Linked DNA regions of Oryctolagus cuniculus. The protein of the gene in region 2 purifies or fractionates together with the protein of the main gene of each other region. This does not show direct contact. Links are inferred from orthologs where the notes say so. Each region holds a gene or a part of one and is shown on either strand. Other genes may lie near its edges.

What was found.
Region 1: the proteins of STK11 (region 2) and PIP4K2A purify together in Homo sapiens (affinity purification with mass spectrometry; 3 studies listed by BioGRID and IntAct, counting the BioPlex papers as one, with this or other methods). This does not show direct contact. The link is inferred for Oryctolagus cuniculus from reciprocal best matches to the Homo sapiens genes STK11 and PIP4K2A.
Region 3: the proteins of STK11 (region 2) and FKBP5 purify together in Homo sapiens (affinity purification with mass spectrometry; 8 studies listed by BioGRID and IntAct, counting the BioPlex papers as one, with this or other methods). This does not show direct contact. The link is inferred for Oryctolagus cuniculus from reciprocal best matches to the Homo sapiens genes STK11 and FKBP5.
Region 4: the proteins of STK11 (region 2) and COPS4 purify together in Homo sapiens (affinity purification with mass spectrometry; 4 studies listed by BioGRID and IntAct, with this or other methods). This does not show direct contact. The link is inferred for Oryctolagus cuniculus from reciprocal best matches to the Homo sapiens genes STK11 and COPS4.

Annotation. Positions count from the first base shown.
Region 1 is NC_091444.1:48,772,011-48,775,570, forward strand, and holds part of PIP4K2A (phosphatidylinositol 5-phosphate 4-kinase type-2 alpha), read right to left. Parts: intron 3,472-3,560; coding exon 3,228-3,471; intron 1,956-3,227; coding exon 1,852-1,955; intron 1-1,851. UniProt on the Homo sapiens protein: Catalyzes the phosphorylation of phosphatidylinositol 5-phosphate (PtdIns5P) on the fourth hydroxyl of the myo-inositol ring, to form phosphatidylinositol 4,5-bisphosphate (PtdIns(4,5)P2). Has both ATP- and GTP-dependent kinase activities.
Region 2 is NC_091447.1:58,641,530-58,645,796, reverse strand, and holds the start of STK11 (serine/threonine-protein kinase STK11), read right to left. Parts: upstream 2,859-4,267; 5' UTR 1,941-2,858; coding exon 1,651-1,940; intron 1-1,650. UniProt on the Homo sapiens protein: Tumor suppressor serine/threonine-protein kinase that controls the activity of AMP-activated protein kinase (AMPK) family members, thereby playing a role in various processes such as cell metabolism, cell polarity, apoptosis and DNA damage response.
Region 3 is NC_091436.1:133,767,917-133,772,052, reverse strand, and holds the start of FKBP5 (peptidyl-prolyl cis-trans isomerase FKBP5), read right to left. Parts: upstream 2,820-4,136; 5' UTR 2,655-2,819; intron 1-2,654. UniProt on the Homo sapiens protein: Immunophilin protein with PPIase and co-chaperone activities. Component of unligated steroid receptors heterocomplexes through interaction with heat-shock protein 90 (HSP90).
Region 4 is NC_091439.1:82,801,219-82,804,778, forward strand, and holds part of COPS4 (COP9 signalosome complex subunit 4), read right to left. Parts: intron 2,339-3,560; coding exon 2,187-2,338; intron 1,272-2,186; coding exon 1,168-1,271; intron 1-1,167. UniProt on the Homo sapiens protein: Component of the COP9 signalosome complex (CSN), a complex involved in various cellular and developmental processes.

The DNA.
Region 1 (3,560 bases), on a different chromosome or scaffold from region 2:
ACCCAGAAGAAGCTCCTGGCTTCAGACTCGCCCAGCCCCAGCCATTGCAGTCATTTGGGGAGTGAACCAGCGGATGAAGATGGATTCTCTCTCTCTCTCTCTGTACCTCTGCTTTTCAAATACATAAATCTTTAAAAAAATCCCATCATCCCTGTTTGGGACATTCCTACCAACCAGGAGGATCTGTGGGGTTTACATTCTAAAGCCATGGGACAACAGCTTTGCATTTCAAGGCAGCAGACCGTGGACACTTGAGGGTGACACACACGTAAGTTCTGGTGAAAGCAAGACCTTCCATGATGTGACTTCAGGACTTAAGATGCTGCTGCACCTCCCGAGAGCTGAGGGCCCTTGGTGCCACCGCTCCTCCGCAGAGACCTGCACGGAGCACGGACGGGGCTCTGCAGAGGCCCAGTGGGGGGTGCTGTTATTACCTGCACAGTGCTGGCCGGTGCTCTGCAGTTTCTGCAGTGTCCTAAGCTGCAAGGGGCAAAGACTAGATTTTTACTAAGTCGCCAGGGGCTATTTTTGGATGCCCACATTCATGGGGGCTCTCGTTATTTCCAGGCCTGGGCTGTTAGAGCAACCTCAAAAAGTATTTCCTTTAGTTCACACAAGCAGGAAGGAGGCGGAGACTCCGCCCCAGGTCTGTGTGTGCAGTCTCCCCCATGGCTTTCAACCCATGGGGCCTCTGGAGTCCCCTGCCTCACTCCCCTGAGCGGGACTCTAAGCAGGGAGAGTGGCTGTGCCTGTGGCGCAGGTGCACTTAGGAATGGCGCTAGGACGCTGCCCCTGTGACCTTGTCTTGCTGAGGCGCTCTCTGGGCCAGGCAGGGTCTGCGGCTGTGCTCTGCGCACAGCAGGAGCCTGTGGCTGAGCTGTTTCTTTGGCAAACAGAATATGGTTTCAGGCTGAATCCACTTCCGGGATGGCAGCCCGTTTGAGTTTCAAATAGAGAAAAAGAGCCTTTAGCTGAGTTGGTTAGCTCTGGCCAGCGCTCTGTGGGAGGCACCTGCCAGCGGGCACAGGCAGCACAAGTCCGACTGCGAGGGATGGGGCTCTGTGGCTTTTCAGTCCACTTGGAGAGCCACAAGTGGAGCCCCACGCTACAAGCCAGAATGGCGTGTAGCCAGGCAGTGGGGCTGCATGGGCAGGGCAGGGCAGGGCAGGAACACAGGGCGGGTGACCCTGCTAGACTCTGCAGAGGAAGCCCTGCTGTGCCCCTGCCTAGCGAGGGGCTCTTGTTGTCACCCCTGAAGCTGTCTGCTTCCGTTCCTTCAGCTGACAGAGGGGACCCACTAGCATCCCCTCGCAAGGGGTCAGCAGGGTACCTGCTGCCCAGCACCGTGCCAATTCTGAGCAGGCACAATAAAGGCCAAGAATGACCATGGGGAAACTTGGACCCTGCACTCACATGGCTGCTGTGACAGAAAAAATACAGCCCACCACGAGAGAAGAAATCTAATCTTGCATACTTTGGAAGCGCCTTAAGCAGAGAACTGTGCTTCAATTCGGAGCACTCTGCATTAAAACCACCAACTTCAGCACTTTAATCTTCAGAACACTTTCCAAACACAAAAGAATTTGTCAGTTCCTAGGGAGGCCTGTGGCTGTACACGTCCTCTGTGTGTCAGAAGAGGCGCGGACTTGCCAGGAGCCCTACCAAGTCCCTGGGAGGGCCGGGCTTTAGCCGCTGGCATTTGCATGAGAACACGGCCCCCCACAGGCAGCGCGCTCCACTAAAGGGCTCTGAACAGCGCCCGCAGAGAGGAGGAGCCCGCAGGAGAAAGGAGTGGTCTCGGCTCCCGGCCACGCTGAGGACCCCGAGGGAGAATCGGGAGCGTGTACTTACGCCGTGCTTCACAGTTTTTGCAGCGTGGGCAGCTTTCTTTTTTGCATCATAATGAGTGAGAATGTCAATAATTGCCATGAAGTACACCTCCTTCCTAGGCGAGTCTGCAAAGGGATGAGAGCAAGTGAATGACGTCACCGGGAGGGAGACACAAGCACTGTGCAGGGAAGGAGAGGAGCCTGGGGCTGAAGCAGCCTGGGGACAAACTCCAAGGGACTCCTGCGTGCTCCTCCCAGCCCTGGGGACTCTACCCAATGTGCTTTCAAAATAACAAGTGAAAAAACCTACCATAACCCCAGGATATGAACACTGGAGCTCCAAGGGTGCAACTGAATGCTTTTATTTTTACTTTTTGATAATCTGCATTTTCTTGAATGACTGTGTAAAGAGGAATGCTATCTTAAAAATACTTAGGAAACAAGTGTAACTAACTGTGTTCATTAATCCTTTCTTTACCATAAGCTGCAGTGTTGGTAAGCAGTTCTCACTGGATGCAGTATCAGAACTGGATAAAGGCACAGAGCACCCCAATATCTACTTAGTCCCAAAAATATGATGTTGCTTCAATTCTGAATAGAAAGGACAGCACATTTGACTACATCTAGTTTTCTGTGTTAAAGAAACAATTTTGGTGAGCAAAATAAGAATAGAACAAAACATAACTCAAACCCATTTGGGTGAGATGCCATCTGTGTTTTTTTTTTTTTAAGAAAAAAAAATCAATGAACCACACTATTATTCAGAAAATGAGAGGCTGCATTTATCAAATCACTAAAATATTTTTTTATGGGTAAGTAGCTAAGGTAGAATGGGATATTCCTTCAAATGCCCGGTCATTTTTATATTGTGTTGAGGACTAAGAACAATGGTTCTGACCCTAGAGAAGCTCAGAGCCCCCTTTAGGGCTCTCGCCCCGTCCACAGGCTGGCCTTGGCACAGAGAAGGAGGGGTGTTTGGTGATGATATGCCTCCCTGAGGGTCACAGTAGACCACACACCCGTGCCTACCTCAGGACAGATGTGTGGTGCTTTAGCCTTAGATAAGAAAGAAGACAGCTAAGGAAAAAATACTTAAACCAGTTCTTATATATGTTCTCTATAGAGGTGCATCTATAGGTATATGTGGGATACACAAGATGACTCGTGGTTTTGCTCCAGTCCCTCAACAGCCCCCTACCCAAGGACCTGCTCCCATTACATCTAAAACCCGAGCTTATAGTTACCTTGAACCCGCTCTGACCCTGTGCGTTTACCTGGACTCCGGAGAATGAGTCTTGCAGGACAACACACCTGTACTAGGGTTCATTACTGGTAGACGACAATGCAAAAACCAAACTGCTTCAGATGTAAACAAGAGGCAATGGTAACTAAGCTTACTTTCATGGCATTTAATTCCATAAACATCAATGTTCGGATCAAACTCCCCCGGAGCCAAGGGCGGTGAGCTGTTCAACGTGTTTCCGGGGCTATCCGGAGGGGTCCCGACTGGGTGGGTGCCGTCGCTCTCCCCCTCCTCCTCCCCGTCATTCTCCTCACACTCCACCTCTTCTTGCTCGGCTCTCTCCACATCGTGAATTCCCACCAGTAAGCTGTAGTCCATGAGCTTCAACTGGGCAAGAAACTGGAGGGGGAGGCGACATGATCAGTTACACCTTACACAAAAAAGGAGATTTGCAAGCTCAGGCGGACACACAGGGGAAGGATGTGTGG
Region 2 (4,267 bases):
GAGCCACAGCGGGTCCCGACCCCGAGAAAAAGGCCACCCGCTCCAGGCGCAGGGCCGCAAGGCGGACCCCCGAGGCCTGAGCTGTCCAGCGCCCCGGCGGCAGGCAGCTGGCCACGCCGCCCAGACACAGGGGGCGAGAGGCAGCGGCCGGGGGTGGGGAGGGGGCTGCCCGGCCCTGCACTCAGCTCAGCTCTGCCATGAGCCCTGGCAGAGCCCAGCCCGCGGCGCGCGGCCTCCGGTCAGCCAGAGGACACTCAGGAGCCCCGGGATGGGACGAGGCCGGGGTGCACGGAGGGTGGGCGCCAGCTGCGCCCCACGTGGCCCTCTCCCCTCGCTAACTCCCCAGCCTCTCACCTCCCAGATCCGAGGGTCTGCCAATTGGCCCGGAAGGTTCCGGCCTCCCCAGGCCACGTCACCAACGTGCGTCCCGGCGGCCAGCAGGGACGAGGCACCGAAACCCGCCCGGCTGAGCGGGACACCTGCCGCTGCCCCGCCAGGGCCCTCGGCGCACCGGTGCCGCCCCTCACCGCCAAGGACACGGCGGCCGGGAACCCAGGAGCCCACGGCCACCAGGGCTGTCCCGGGGACAGCACAGAGCAGGGCGAGGCTGGGGGCACGAAGAGCCTGGCTTCCCCGCCCGCGTCCGCCAGGAGGGACAGGACGCGACGGCCCTCAGAGGCCCAGCTGTAACTCCCAGCGCCTCCCGGCTGACGGGGACTCCCTTCCCGGGAGCCCTGTGCCCACCCCGACGGCCCCCTGGGAGGAGCTCTGGGCACAGGCGCGGCCCGAGCCCTCCACGCCGGGCCGCGGCCCAGTTCATCAAGCTGCCCACGCACAAAGGGCCTTTTTCGCGAGGCCAGCTGGCAGGGAGGCCGGCGGGGAGCCCGGCGGGCTTGTGGGGGCAGCCCTCGCCTCCCAGGGCCTGGGCACGCGCCGGCCCCGGTCCCAGCCCGTCAGGGAGCGCTCCGGAAGCCGGCCCGGGGCGGCGGGAGCCCCCGGGGAGCTGCTGCTGGACGCGGGACCCTGGCCCCCCCCCCTCGGCGCCCACCCCAGCCTGGCTCCCGCGGACCGGACACCTGTGCCCCACGCAGGCGCCGGGCTTCCCTCCAGCTTCCTGCCAACGCCGCCACGGGGGACGCGGACGCGGGCAGGGAGGGGCACGGAGCTCCCTCTGCCTCCCCAGCCCCAGGCTGGGCGCCCGCCGGTCTCGCCCACAGCACCGTCTCTCCCCCGTACACCCAGCCCGCCCCCGGCCCGGCCCGGGCCTCGGGCATTTCCCACTGGAACCCGGGTCAGCGCCCTCGCCCAGGGGCAGAGGTGGGTGCCGGGCCCTCAGCCTGCGCCCACCCGGGGAGTGGCCACCCCAGCAGGGGCTGAGCCCGCGGGCAGGGGGGAGCGCTTCCCGGGGCCCTCGCGGGGCCAGCAGACCATTAAACCAGCCTGCTCCGGGCGGGGGGGGGGCCCAGGGCTCGGGGCGGGCACCTGCTGCCCCGCGGACCTCAGCCGGGCCGCTGCCCACGGCGCCCCCGCGGACGCTGTCCAAGGTCACGGCCACCGGGCCCCTCAGATAAGGGCCTTTCCTGGAAGCCGGTGCAGGCCGGGGCGCGATAAGGGGCCCCGCCCGCCCGCCCGCCGCGGGGGGGCACTCACTTCCGCACGTTGGCCTCGCCGTTGGGGATCCGCCGCAGCTTCTTCTTCTTGAGGATCTTGACGGCGCGGCGGCACAGCGTCTCCGAGTCCAACACCTCCTTCACCTTCCCGTAGGAGCCCTCGCCCAGCAGGTCCCCCATCAGGTACTTGCCGATGAGCTTGGCGCGCTTGCGCCGCGGCTGGTAGATGACCTCGGTGGAGTCGATGCGGTGGATGAAGGTGTCCATGCCCACGGCCATCAGCTCGTCCTCGGGGAACAGGCCCAGCGGCGGCGGCTCGGCCACATCCATGCTGCGCCCGGGCGCCCCGCTAGTCCCGGCGCCCCGCCTCCCCGACTTCAAACACACCAACAGGAAAGAGACAAAAAGGAAGAAAGCCACGCAGGCCTCGGCCACGAACAGCCTCCTCCCGACACACGCGAGCGTCCCGCCCGGCAGTCCGCGCTGCGAGCCCCCTCCCCGGGAGGAGGGGGTCTCAGGGCCTGGGGGCGGCCCGGGCCGGCTCAGCTCGTCCGCGGGGGCCCTGGGCAGGCCGGCGGGGCCCGCGGCGCCCGCTCATCCTCCGGGGGGCTCAGGCGCGCGGACCAGCGCTCCGGCGGCCGCGACCCGGCTCCCCCGGGCCGTCCATGCCCGCGGGCAGCCGCCGACGGGGGTCCGCGCCGCTCGCCGCCCCGGGAGCCCCCCACACCCGGGGCCACAAAACTTTGCTGGGAGCCCCTCGGGCGCCGCCCCGCGGTCCCGCCGCCTCAGCCGAGCGCTCGGAGGCCGCGCCCGCGGTTGGGGCTGGGGGCTTCCCCGGACGCGGTCAGGCGCACGCTCGGCGCCGGCCGCTCGCCGCCCCCAACCCCCCAGCCGGCCCGCGACCTCCGGCCGGACGCCCCGAGCGCTCCAACGGCGGCCCGGGCTCGCTCCCGCTCCCGAGCGCCGTCAGCGGCCGGCCCCGACGCGCGGCCGACGCTCCGCGGGCTCCGGGCGGCCCAGGCCGCAGGCTCCGGGCCGGGGAGTGCCCGAGGCTGCCGAAGTCCGGCCGGTGCGTCCCCCTCGCCGCGGCCGCCGCGCGCGTGCAGGAGGCGGAGCGGCGAGGGGGGCCCAGCCCATCCAAGGCCGCCCGCGCTGCCGCCGGCGCCGCCCTCCGCCGCCCCGCGACTCACTCGCGGGCGCCCCGGGCCGCCTCCCCCTTCCGCGCCCGATACGCCGCCGCCATCTTGTTTACCTCCCTCCCCCTCCCTGCGCCGCCGCCGCCGCCGCACGCCCGACCGCAGGGCACGCCCCCTCGCGGCGCCGACGTGCCCGCCCGTTGGTGGAGCCGGAAGGCCCCGCCTCGCGACACGCTTGGCCGCCGCCGCCGATTGGGCCGTTTGGACCCGGCCGGGCGGTCGCGCGGGGATTGGTCCGCACTCGGCCCCGCCTCGAGGGGTGGGGACGCCTCGTTCATTGGCCTGCGGGCGCGCCCGTCACGGCGACGGGGCGGGAAGCGGGCGTGGGGACGCGAGGCCGCGGCGGTGACCTCGGAGGGGTTGGGGCCCGGGGTCGGGGGTCGCGGGTCCCAACGGCCGCCCCGGAACGGCCGCGGGCTCCCCCGGTCGTGGGCCGGCACCGCGGCTCGGGGCTCCAGAGGTCGGGGGAAGCCTGCCGGGGCCGCTTCCTGCTTCCCTCGTTGGGCCGAGGTCAGAGGTCACAAAGTGACCTAAAGTGACCAGTTCGGGGCGGAAATCCCTGAGGCGCCGCCGGGGCCGGGCCGGGGCCGCGGGCGGGGCGGAAGCAGAGGGGAGACGCCCGGGACGCGCGGGCCCAGGCCGCAGGTGTCCCTGTCGGCCCCGGGCGCCCGCGGGGCCTCGGCCCCACTCAGGACGGAACCGCGCGTGCGCCTCAGGCCGTTTTCGCCCCTAATTCCACTTTAAAGAAAGGTTTATCGAGGCCGGCGCCGTGGCGTGGGGGTGCAATCACGGCCTGCAGCGCCCCCAGCCTTCACGGGCGCCGGTTCGAGTCCCGGCCGCCCCACTTCCGGTCATCGGTGCCGGACAGGTGCTTGGGCCCCGCACCACGCGAGAGACCCGGGCAGGGGGGGCTCGTGGGCCTCCAGCCTCGCCCAGACATTGGGGGATCGAACCAGCAGATGGAAGACCCCTTCTCTCTATGCCTTTCAAATAAATCTCTAAAATAAAAAAGAAACGCGTATTTAGTTGAAAGTGAGGATGGGGGTGCCGTCCATTGCTGGCTCAAGGACTCGGGTCATCGTCCGCTGCTTTCCCAGGCCACAGCAGGGAGCTGGACCGGAAGTAGAGCAGCTGGGACTCGAACCGGCGTCCACATGGGATGTTGGCACTGCAGGCCGGGGCTTTATCCGCTGCGCCACAGGGGAACCGGCCCCTGAATTAAGCTTCTTTTAAAAAAAAAAGGCAGCGAGGGGTCGCTGGGGTCACCGGGGAGGGCCCAGCGCTGCAGTGGCCGCCCACCGGGGACCCAAGCCACATCTCAGTCGAGGCCGGGAAGGGGCAGTCGGCCCAGCAGCACACGCCCCCACCCCACGTGGGAGACCCGGGGCAGCTCCAGGCTCCCGGCCCCGGCCGTGGTGGGCGTCTGGGGGGTGACCCAGCCGGTGGACGAAGTCCCTCTGT
Region 3 (4,136 bases), on a different chromosome or scaffold from region 2:
GTTTTTCAATCTGTCTTTTGGATTTAGCTAAAGTCCTTGTTTTTTTGTGAAGTTATTCACTTAAAAATATTTACCACTCGCACCACCAGCCCCCAATCAAAAGGAGCCGTACCTGAGGGTAACTGCTTAAAAAAAAAAAAAAAACCTGCCAGTGTTTATTGTGAGAATTCAGCTTGTGCTTAATTTTGAAGATAAAATGTGCTTGATAAATTAAAGTGAACAAAATTCAGTAGTTAAAATATGCAAAAACTGAATTTTAAAATAGGTTTTAATTTTAAGGTACGTTCATAATTAAAGTACCTAAAATATACTTTTGTGGAAACAAACTTACGAGACATAACTTGACGATATTTGGCATATTAAAGCACCATCACAGGATAAGGACAATCAACGCTCTAACAGCACAGCACTTAAATGTATTCCTTTACACTAAAGAGCAATTAAATAAATAACGAGAGACAATGAAAGCCCAAGTGTCATAAAGTCCTTTATAACTTTGTAAAGGCAAAACCCATTCTATGTGAGGACAAGCCACTGTTCTTTCTACCCTTCCTAAGCATCCGAAAGCCAGCTCAGCTTGTACAGCAATAACTTCTGCGGGTGTACAAAGAGGATGTTCTTCTCCGGACTAATCCATTCTAAGTAGAGAAGCCTGCAGGAAACTAAAAAGCCTGAAACATGGATTCTTTTTCCAATTCAAGAGTAAACAGAAAATTAAAGACTTAATTAGTTGCCTAATTCATTAAGTTTTTCATGTTGAACTGATAACAATTGTTTTAAAAAAAAGAAATGCACTCAAATTTCCCATAAATAAAAAAAGTTAAAGATTCCAAAAAACATACCTGTTTTACAAAATGCTGGAAAGACAAAGCCCTTACAACATACGTGGGAAGTTCAAAAAGTTCACGGAAAAGTGGAATTAAAAGATGAATTTATTTCAGTACAAAACATTCTGAAATCCAGACACAGTTTCTTCATAATATGCATTTCTGTGAACTTTTAAAGACCCCCGTTATCTAAGTTTATTGCTTCAGAGAAATAAAACAATTTATAAAGATCATCTTTATTTTTTTTTTACACTGAAGTAGTCACAACTTTGGCTGAAGAGTTCTGACCTCTTATTAACTGTTACATAATTCTAATTAGCAAGGTAAATAAGCAAATTAAATCAAAGTTAATAACGCTGCTCCTAGGCAGTCAAACATATCCACTATGTGCATCAAACAAGACGCTTTAAAACATAAAAACCGAGCACACCAGATCCCGTGTGTCTCACAAGTGACCTAATTTTAGAAATACAATTGTATAGCATGCCCAGGTTGGTCAGGGCTAAGTGTGGCGGGTTAGGCAGGGGTCGGGAGGCAGACACACAAACGGAAACGCTAAGGGAAAGTACGACAGGACAAAAAGCTCCCACCAGGGTAAGGCCTTTTTTCAGGTCGACCCTTGGAGTTTGACTCCCATCCCGAGAGAGGCAGCTCCTCTGACTCTCTAAAGCAAAGACCCCCAACGCGGGGGCAGGGGGGCTGCAAACCCCTACCCCGAATCCGCCCTAACTCTTCCCGGGTCCCCCATCGAACAAGGCGGGGAGACAATGAAAGCAAACAGTCCAGGTCAGAGAGCGAAGAAAGCTCCCATTCAGAGCTACGCCTCACTCCCCTGGAAAGCACAGCCCAGAAAGCGAATCCAAAACCACGGACTGCACGGCGGCCCGCGGAGGGCAGCGGGGCTCTGCGCGCTCCCCTTCCAGGCTGTACCTGCCCGAGCCGTCGCCGCCGCCGCCGAAGCCGCCCCGCACAGGGCGGCTGCGCCCGGAGCAGGCAGCCTGCAGCGCCCGGGTCCTGCACGCGGCTTCTGCAAGCCGTCCGGGGCGCACGCCTCCCGGGACGGCCGGCAAGGCGGGCGGACGGAGCCGCAAGCGTCCCAGGACCCACCCCGGCCGCAACTCTCGGCCCGCACCGCAGAGTGCGGGTCACCTGTGAGCGCGGCGCGGCGCCCGCACCCCGCCGAGGGGCCGTGCGGCTCCCAGGCACGAGCGCCAGGGCGGCAGGTGACGGCGGGGCACGCCCGCGTCCACACCCAGCGGGCGGCCACCCCGCGCGCGGCCGGGGCGCTCCGTTATCCTCGCCCTCCGCGGGCCCGCCAGGTGAGCGAGTCTCCATCGCGCCCGCGGCGTCCTGGCGCTCGTCTCAGCCCCGGGCTCCAGGCCTCCGGCCGCCCCGGTCCCGGAAGGCCAAGTTGCGCTCCGGCCCGCGGCTGCGGCTGCTCGGGCGCCGCCCGGCTTCTCCGAGGGTCCCGCAGCGCCGGGCCTCGGGCGAGTCCGGGTCCGCCGACGACAGCCGGAGCCGGGACCTGTCACCCCGGGCGGGAAACAAAAGCCGAGTGAGGGCGAGCGGGCGCGACCGGGAGGGGGAGCGCGGCGCGGGCGGAGAGCGGCTCCCGCGGCCCCCCGGAGGGAGCCTCGGCCCGGCGGCCCCCGCAGTCGGGCTGGGAGCCCCCCGGGCGCTCACCTCGTGGACTTGCAGCCCCTCGCGCCACTCCCTCCCGGGCTGGGGAGCCGCGTGAGGGGCAGCGGCAGAACCTGAAAAGAGAGAATTGGGCTCTCGGGACCCCGCGGCCGCCCCACCTCATCCCTGCGGCCATGGCGCCGGTACCTGTCTCCACAGTGCCTGGCCAGCTCCTGCTCTCTCCGCCTCGCCCGCGCGCCGCTCGCCCCTCAGCCCGCCCAGCAGGCAGCCCGCGCGCCGGACACCGCAGTCCGAGACTGGCAGCGCCCGCGAGCCGGCCCGAATCCCCAGGGCAGCGCCCGGCATGGTCCCGCCCCCGCCGGCCGCAGGACCCCCCTTCCATAGGGCCCCGGGGCTGTCAGTCCGCCCCCAAAAGGCGCGCGGGCTGTCGCTCCGCGTGTCCGGATTGGTGGCCGCGCGCGGTCCATGCAAATAAGGCCCCGCCCACGTTTATTTGCATCTCCGCCCCCCCACACTAGCCCACGTGTCTGGCCCTTGCCCTTTGTGGGGGCTGGAGAAAATGGATGGAGGAAGCTGACCGACACCCCCTCACATCAGCCCTTCCCTCCACAGAAACTAACGCCCAAGCAAGATCGTTGACCCCACTGCCGTACCGTGTCTGTCTGTCCTGCGGGCCTGGTCTGTGGCGGGAGAGGGGTCAGGTCGGGCTGTTTGCGTTAGATTAGCAGTCCAGGTTAGCTCCAGGACACTAACTCGGGAAGCTAGAGATGCTAGGTCGGACCCGAGAACATCCCGCCTCAAGAACCAGGTGAGCACGCGGCACCTCCCTTGGATACCCAGGGACCGTGAGAACCCTGCGGCCCCCACGCTGTCCCCCCCCGGGGGGGGGGGTGCAGGGGCGGCGGGGGGCCTTAGGGAATCTTTAGCTCAGCCCCATCATTTTTGAAGAAACAGAAACCTGAAGTCTCAAACTGGGGACCTATGGGACATGATAGTTGCCTATGGTAATCTGATGTCCCCTAATCAGATTAGAACCCGTGTCTCCTGGCTTTGCACACTGTCACACTGAAGTCTTTGTAAAAGGCCCTTCCCATAAACCAGTCACCATGCTGCCTGGTGCTTCAAGATTTGGAGGTGGGTAGAAAGTTGGTGGCATTTGGCGGAGAGGTTAAGGCACCAGGTCCCCCAGGAGTGGTAGGATCCATACCTGGCAAGGGCTTCCCTCCCAATTCCAGCTTCCTGCTAATACAGACCTTGGGAGGCAGCAGCAATGATGGCTTAAGGGGTTGGGTCCTCGACACTCACCTGGAAGACCTACTTTCAGTTCCTGGTCCAGGAATGTACTGGCTTGCTCTCTCTTTCTCTCCCTGCCTCCCTCCCTCTCCAATAAATAGAAATAAAAAGTGATATCTGTAGAAAAGGCAAATAGAGTCAACCCTGAGACCTCCTCAAGGATCCTTATCTCAGTCATTGGTCCTCAGTGTCTAGAAGCGTCTCTTTTTTGCCAGGGAGAGTCACTGAAACCATTTATTCATGCATTAATTCAGATAGTGTCGATCAAAACTACTCTGCATATTAACACTGATTCAGCAGGCATCTACCATGCTTAAAAAACAGCAAGTATTCAGCACCATGCTATGTGCTGGCTATGCAGCAGTGAGGAGGAAT
Region 4 (3,560 bases), on a different chromosome or scaffold from region 2:
CTGGCCTGAAAGCACCGGCATCTCATATGGACGCTGGTTCTAGTCCCGGCTGCTCCTCTTCTGGTCCAGCTCTCTGCTATGGCCTGGGAAAGCAGTAGAACACGGCCCGAGTCCTTGGGCCCCTGCACCCACGTGGGAGATCCAGAAGAAGCTCTTAGCTCCTGGCTTCGGATTGGCGCAGCCCTGGCCATTGCAGCCATCTGGGGAGTGAACCAGCGGGTGGAAGACCTCTCTCTCTGTTTCTACCTCTCTCTGTAATTCTTTCAAATAAATAAAATAAATCTTTAAAAATAAAAGAAGAAGATGGCAGAAATACTTGGGTCTCTGCACCCACATGGGATACTGGAAGAAGCTCCTGGCTCCTGGCTTCAGATAGGCTCAGCTCCAGCCACTGTGGCCATTTGGGAAGTGAACCAGCAGATGGAAGATCAATCTCTCTCTCTCTAACTCTGCCTTTCAAATAAATAAATACATCTTTAAAAAAGATTTATTTTATTTGCAAGTCAGAGTTACAGAGAAAAAGGGAGAGACAGAATCTTCCATCCACTGGCTTACTCCCCTAATGGACACATTGGCTGGAGCTGGGCCAGGCCAAAGCCAGGAGACAGAAGCCTCTTCTGGATTTCCCACGTGGGTACAGAGGCTCAAGCACTTGGACCATCTTCTACTGCTTTCCCAGGCACATTAGCAGAGAGCTGGAATAGAAGTGGAACAGCCAGGACTTGAACCAAACCCAGATGGGATGTGGCACCACAAGCGGTGGCTTAAGCCACTACATCACAGTGCCAGCCCCTTCCTTATTCTTCTTGAAAATACATGTTCCCATCTTAGGGCCTTTGCATTAACCATCTCTCTGAGTAGCCAGTGATGTGCTTCCCTCAAATAGCTCTAATCCACTACCCTCTCTCCTTCAAATCTTTGGGAAAGTGACATCAGGACCACCCTACTACCCAATTTAATGATATATACAATCTGTCCCCTCTTTTCCCCTTACTTTTCTCTGTAAGTAAGCATTTATCTTTTAACATACTACAAAATTTACTTATAACTTGTTTATCTCTTTCCTGTATTAGAATGTAAGAAAAAAATGTAGGTAAATAATTATATATCCTATATGTGTGTATGTATATGTATATATATTCATTCAATATCCACTATTTACTATACTTTTGTCCTGTTTCCAAAGGAATTCCCACCAACACTTGGGCTGCATTTCTCCAATCTTCTTCTTTCTCATATATAGATGCAAGATGCTGCCTTATGGAAGCAACCTGAAATAGAAGGTATACATGTTAAATTACTTCAACCATAACTCATTAGTCAATTAAAATAAATAGATGATAAACTAATCCATTTTGACAATGCTCTTATTCAACATACAGGGTGGCAAATCAAAGTTTATCTAGACCACCCAAATTTTTCTATGAATTTCGCATTCACATAATATCAAAGCAGTGAAATGAAACAATGCATTTCTGCAATGTGAGTTATGGTAATATTTTAGTTTAAATGTTAAAATTTGCTTTTATGTCTCTGCATATAGGATGTTGAAGTTTCCCGTGTGTAGTCTAATAACAATTTTTTATACTGACTTTTTAAAACTGTTTAAAGAGTAATATTTGACTGGTAAGATCAAATTTTAATATATGGGCAAATGTCAGGTGGAATTGCAAACATTCTAATATTTATTAGATTTTACACTGTAAAATGGTGGTAGACAGGACTAGCACTGTTAGCACAGTGAGTGAAGCCACTGCTTGTGATGCCAGCATCCAATATGGGTTCTGGTTCATGTCCCGGTTGCTCTACTTCCAATCCAACTCCCTACTAATGTACTTAGGAAAGCAGTAGAAGATAGCCTAAGTGCTTGGGACTCTGCACCCATGTGAGAGATCCAGATGAAGCTCCTGGCTCCTGGCCTCAGCCAGGCCCAGCCCTGGCCATTGCAGCCATTTGAGGAGTGAACCAGCAGATGGAAGATCTCTCCCTGTCTCTCCCTTTCTCTCTCTGTAACTCTGCCTTTCAAACAAATAAAATAAATCTTTAAAAGCAAAAAACGCTGGTTGAGATTCTATTTCATCAAATATCAAATTGCACAATTATCTCCATTAGGAATTTAATAGCATCAGATTCTCAAAGCAACTGCCGCTATCTCAAATTCAAAAACTGTTGTTCTAGATTCTTACCTGCTCCTCAAATGAAATGACTCTAGGCTGGATCTTTTCCAAGGTAAAGTGATAGATTTCTTTGGCTGTGCTATCAGGCAGGTTAGGCAGATGTGTGCAAAAATCAGTCAGCAACTGTCGTGAGATCACAAGACTGACATTCTCATTTACCACTGTTTAAAAAGAAAGAGATAAGAAAACATGAGTAATTTATAAATTTTCATTAAGCAATCAACCCTTACCTAAAATTAATAATGAAAACATATCTGTATTAGTGTAACCTTCAATGTGTTATTCCAGGAATTCCATACCCTAATCATCTTATACTGTAACATGTCACAAATCAAGTTTCCTTACACTGAATTACTTGATTTTTTTCTGACTATACTGAAACAGTAAAGATATCATAACTTCTCTAAGCAAAAGAAATGTCAGGGAAAAGGTTTTATTTAATAACTGAGACTTTTATACCATTCCTTTCTCTTAATTTTCTATAATATTAAGGCACAGAAACACCTACATCTTTTTTTATATGCTGACCCCCCATCCAGTTCCAAAAAAGAGTAAAAGAAGAAAACAGTGATATAATTTTCATGAAATTTAAATGAAGCAAATGCTGCGAGCACACTTAGTGTCATTTGTATTTTCCTAATAAAAGCAACACATAAGGAGGCACACAGCAGTTAAGTTGCTGCTTGGGAAACCTCCATCCCATATGGATGCTTGGTTTGAATCCCAGCTACTCCCTTACTCCCTCCCTCCCTCCTTTCTTTCTTTCTTTTTTTGACAGGCAGAGTTAGACAGTGAGAGAGAGAGAGAGACAGAGAGAAAGGTCTTCCTTTTTCTGTTGGTTCACCCCCGAAGTGGCCGCTACAGCCGGCACGTTGCAGCCGGTGCACTGTGCCGATCCGAAGCTAGGAGCCAGGTGCTTCCTCCTGATCTCCCATGCGGGTGCAGGGCCCAAGGACCTGGGCCATCCTCCACTGCCTTCCCTGGCCACAGCAGAGAGCTAGACTGGAAGAGGAGTGACCGGGACAGAATCCGGCGCCCCAACCGGGACTACAACCTGGGGTGCCGGCACCGCAGGCAGAGGATTAGGTGCAGCGCAGGCCACTACTCCATTTCTGATTCAACTTCCTGCTAATGCACATTCTGGGAGGCAGATCATGGCTCAAGTACTTGTGTCTCTACCACCCACATGGGAAATCTGGATTGAGTTCTAGGCTCCTGGCCTATCTGGTTTAACCCAGGCTGTTATGGGCATCTGGGAAGTCCACCAGCATTGGAAGATCTCTGTCTGTCTGTCTCTGCATTTGAAAAATAAAGAAAAAAAATTTTAAAAAAAATTTTAAAACAATCAATATCAACTTTAATCAATACTAGATATAGTAACAT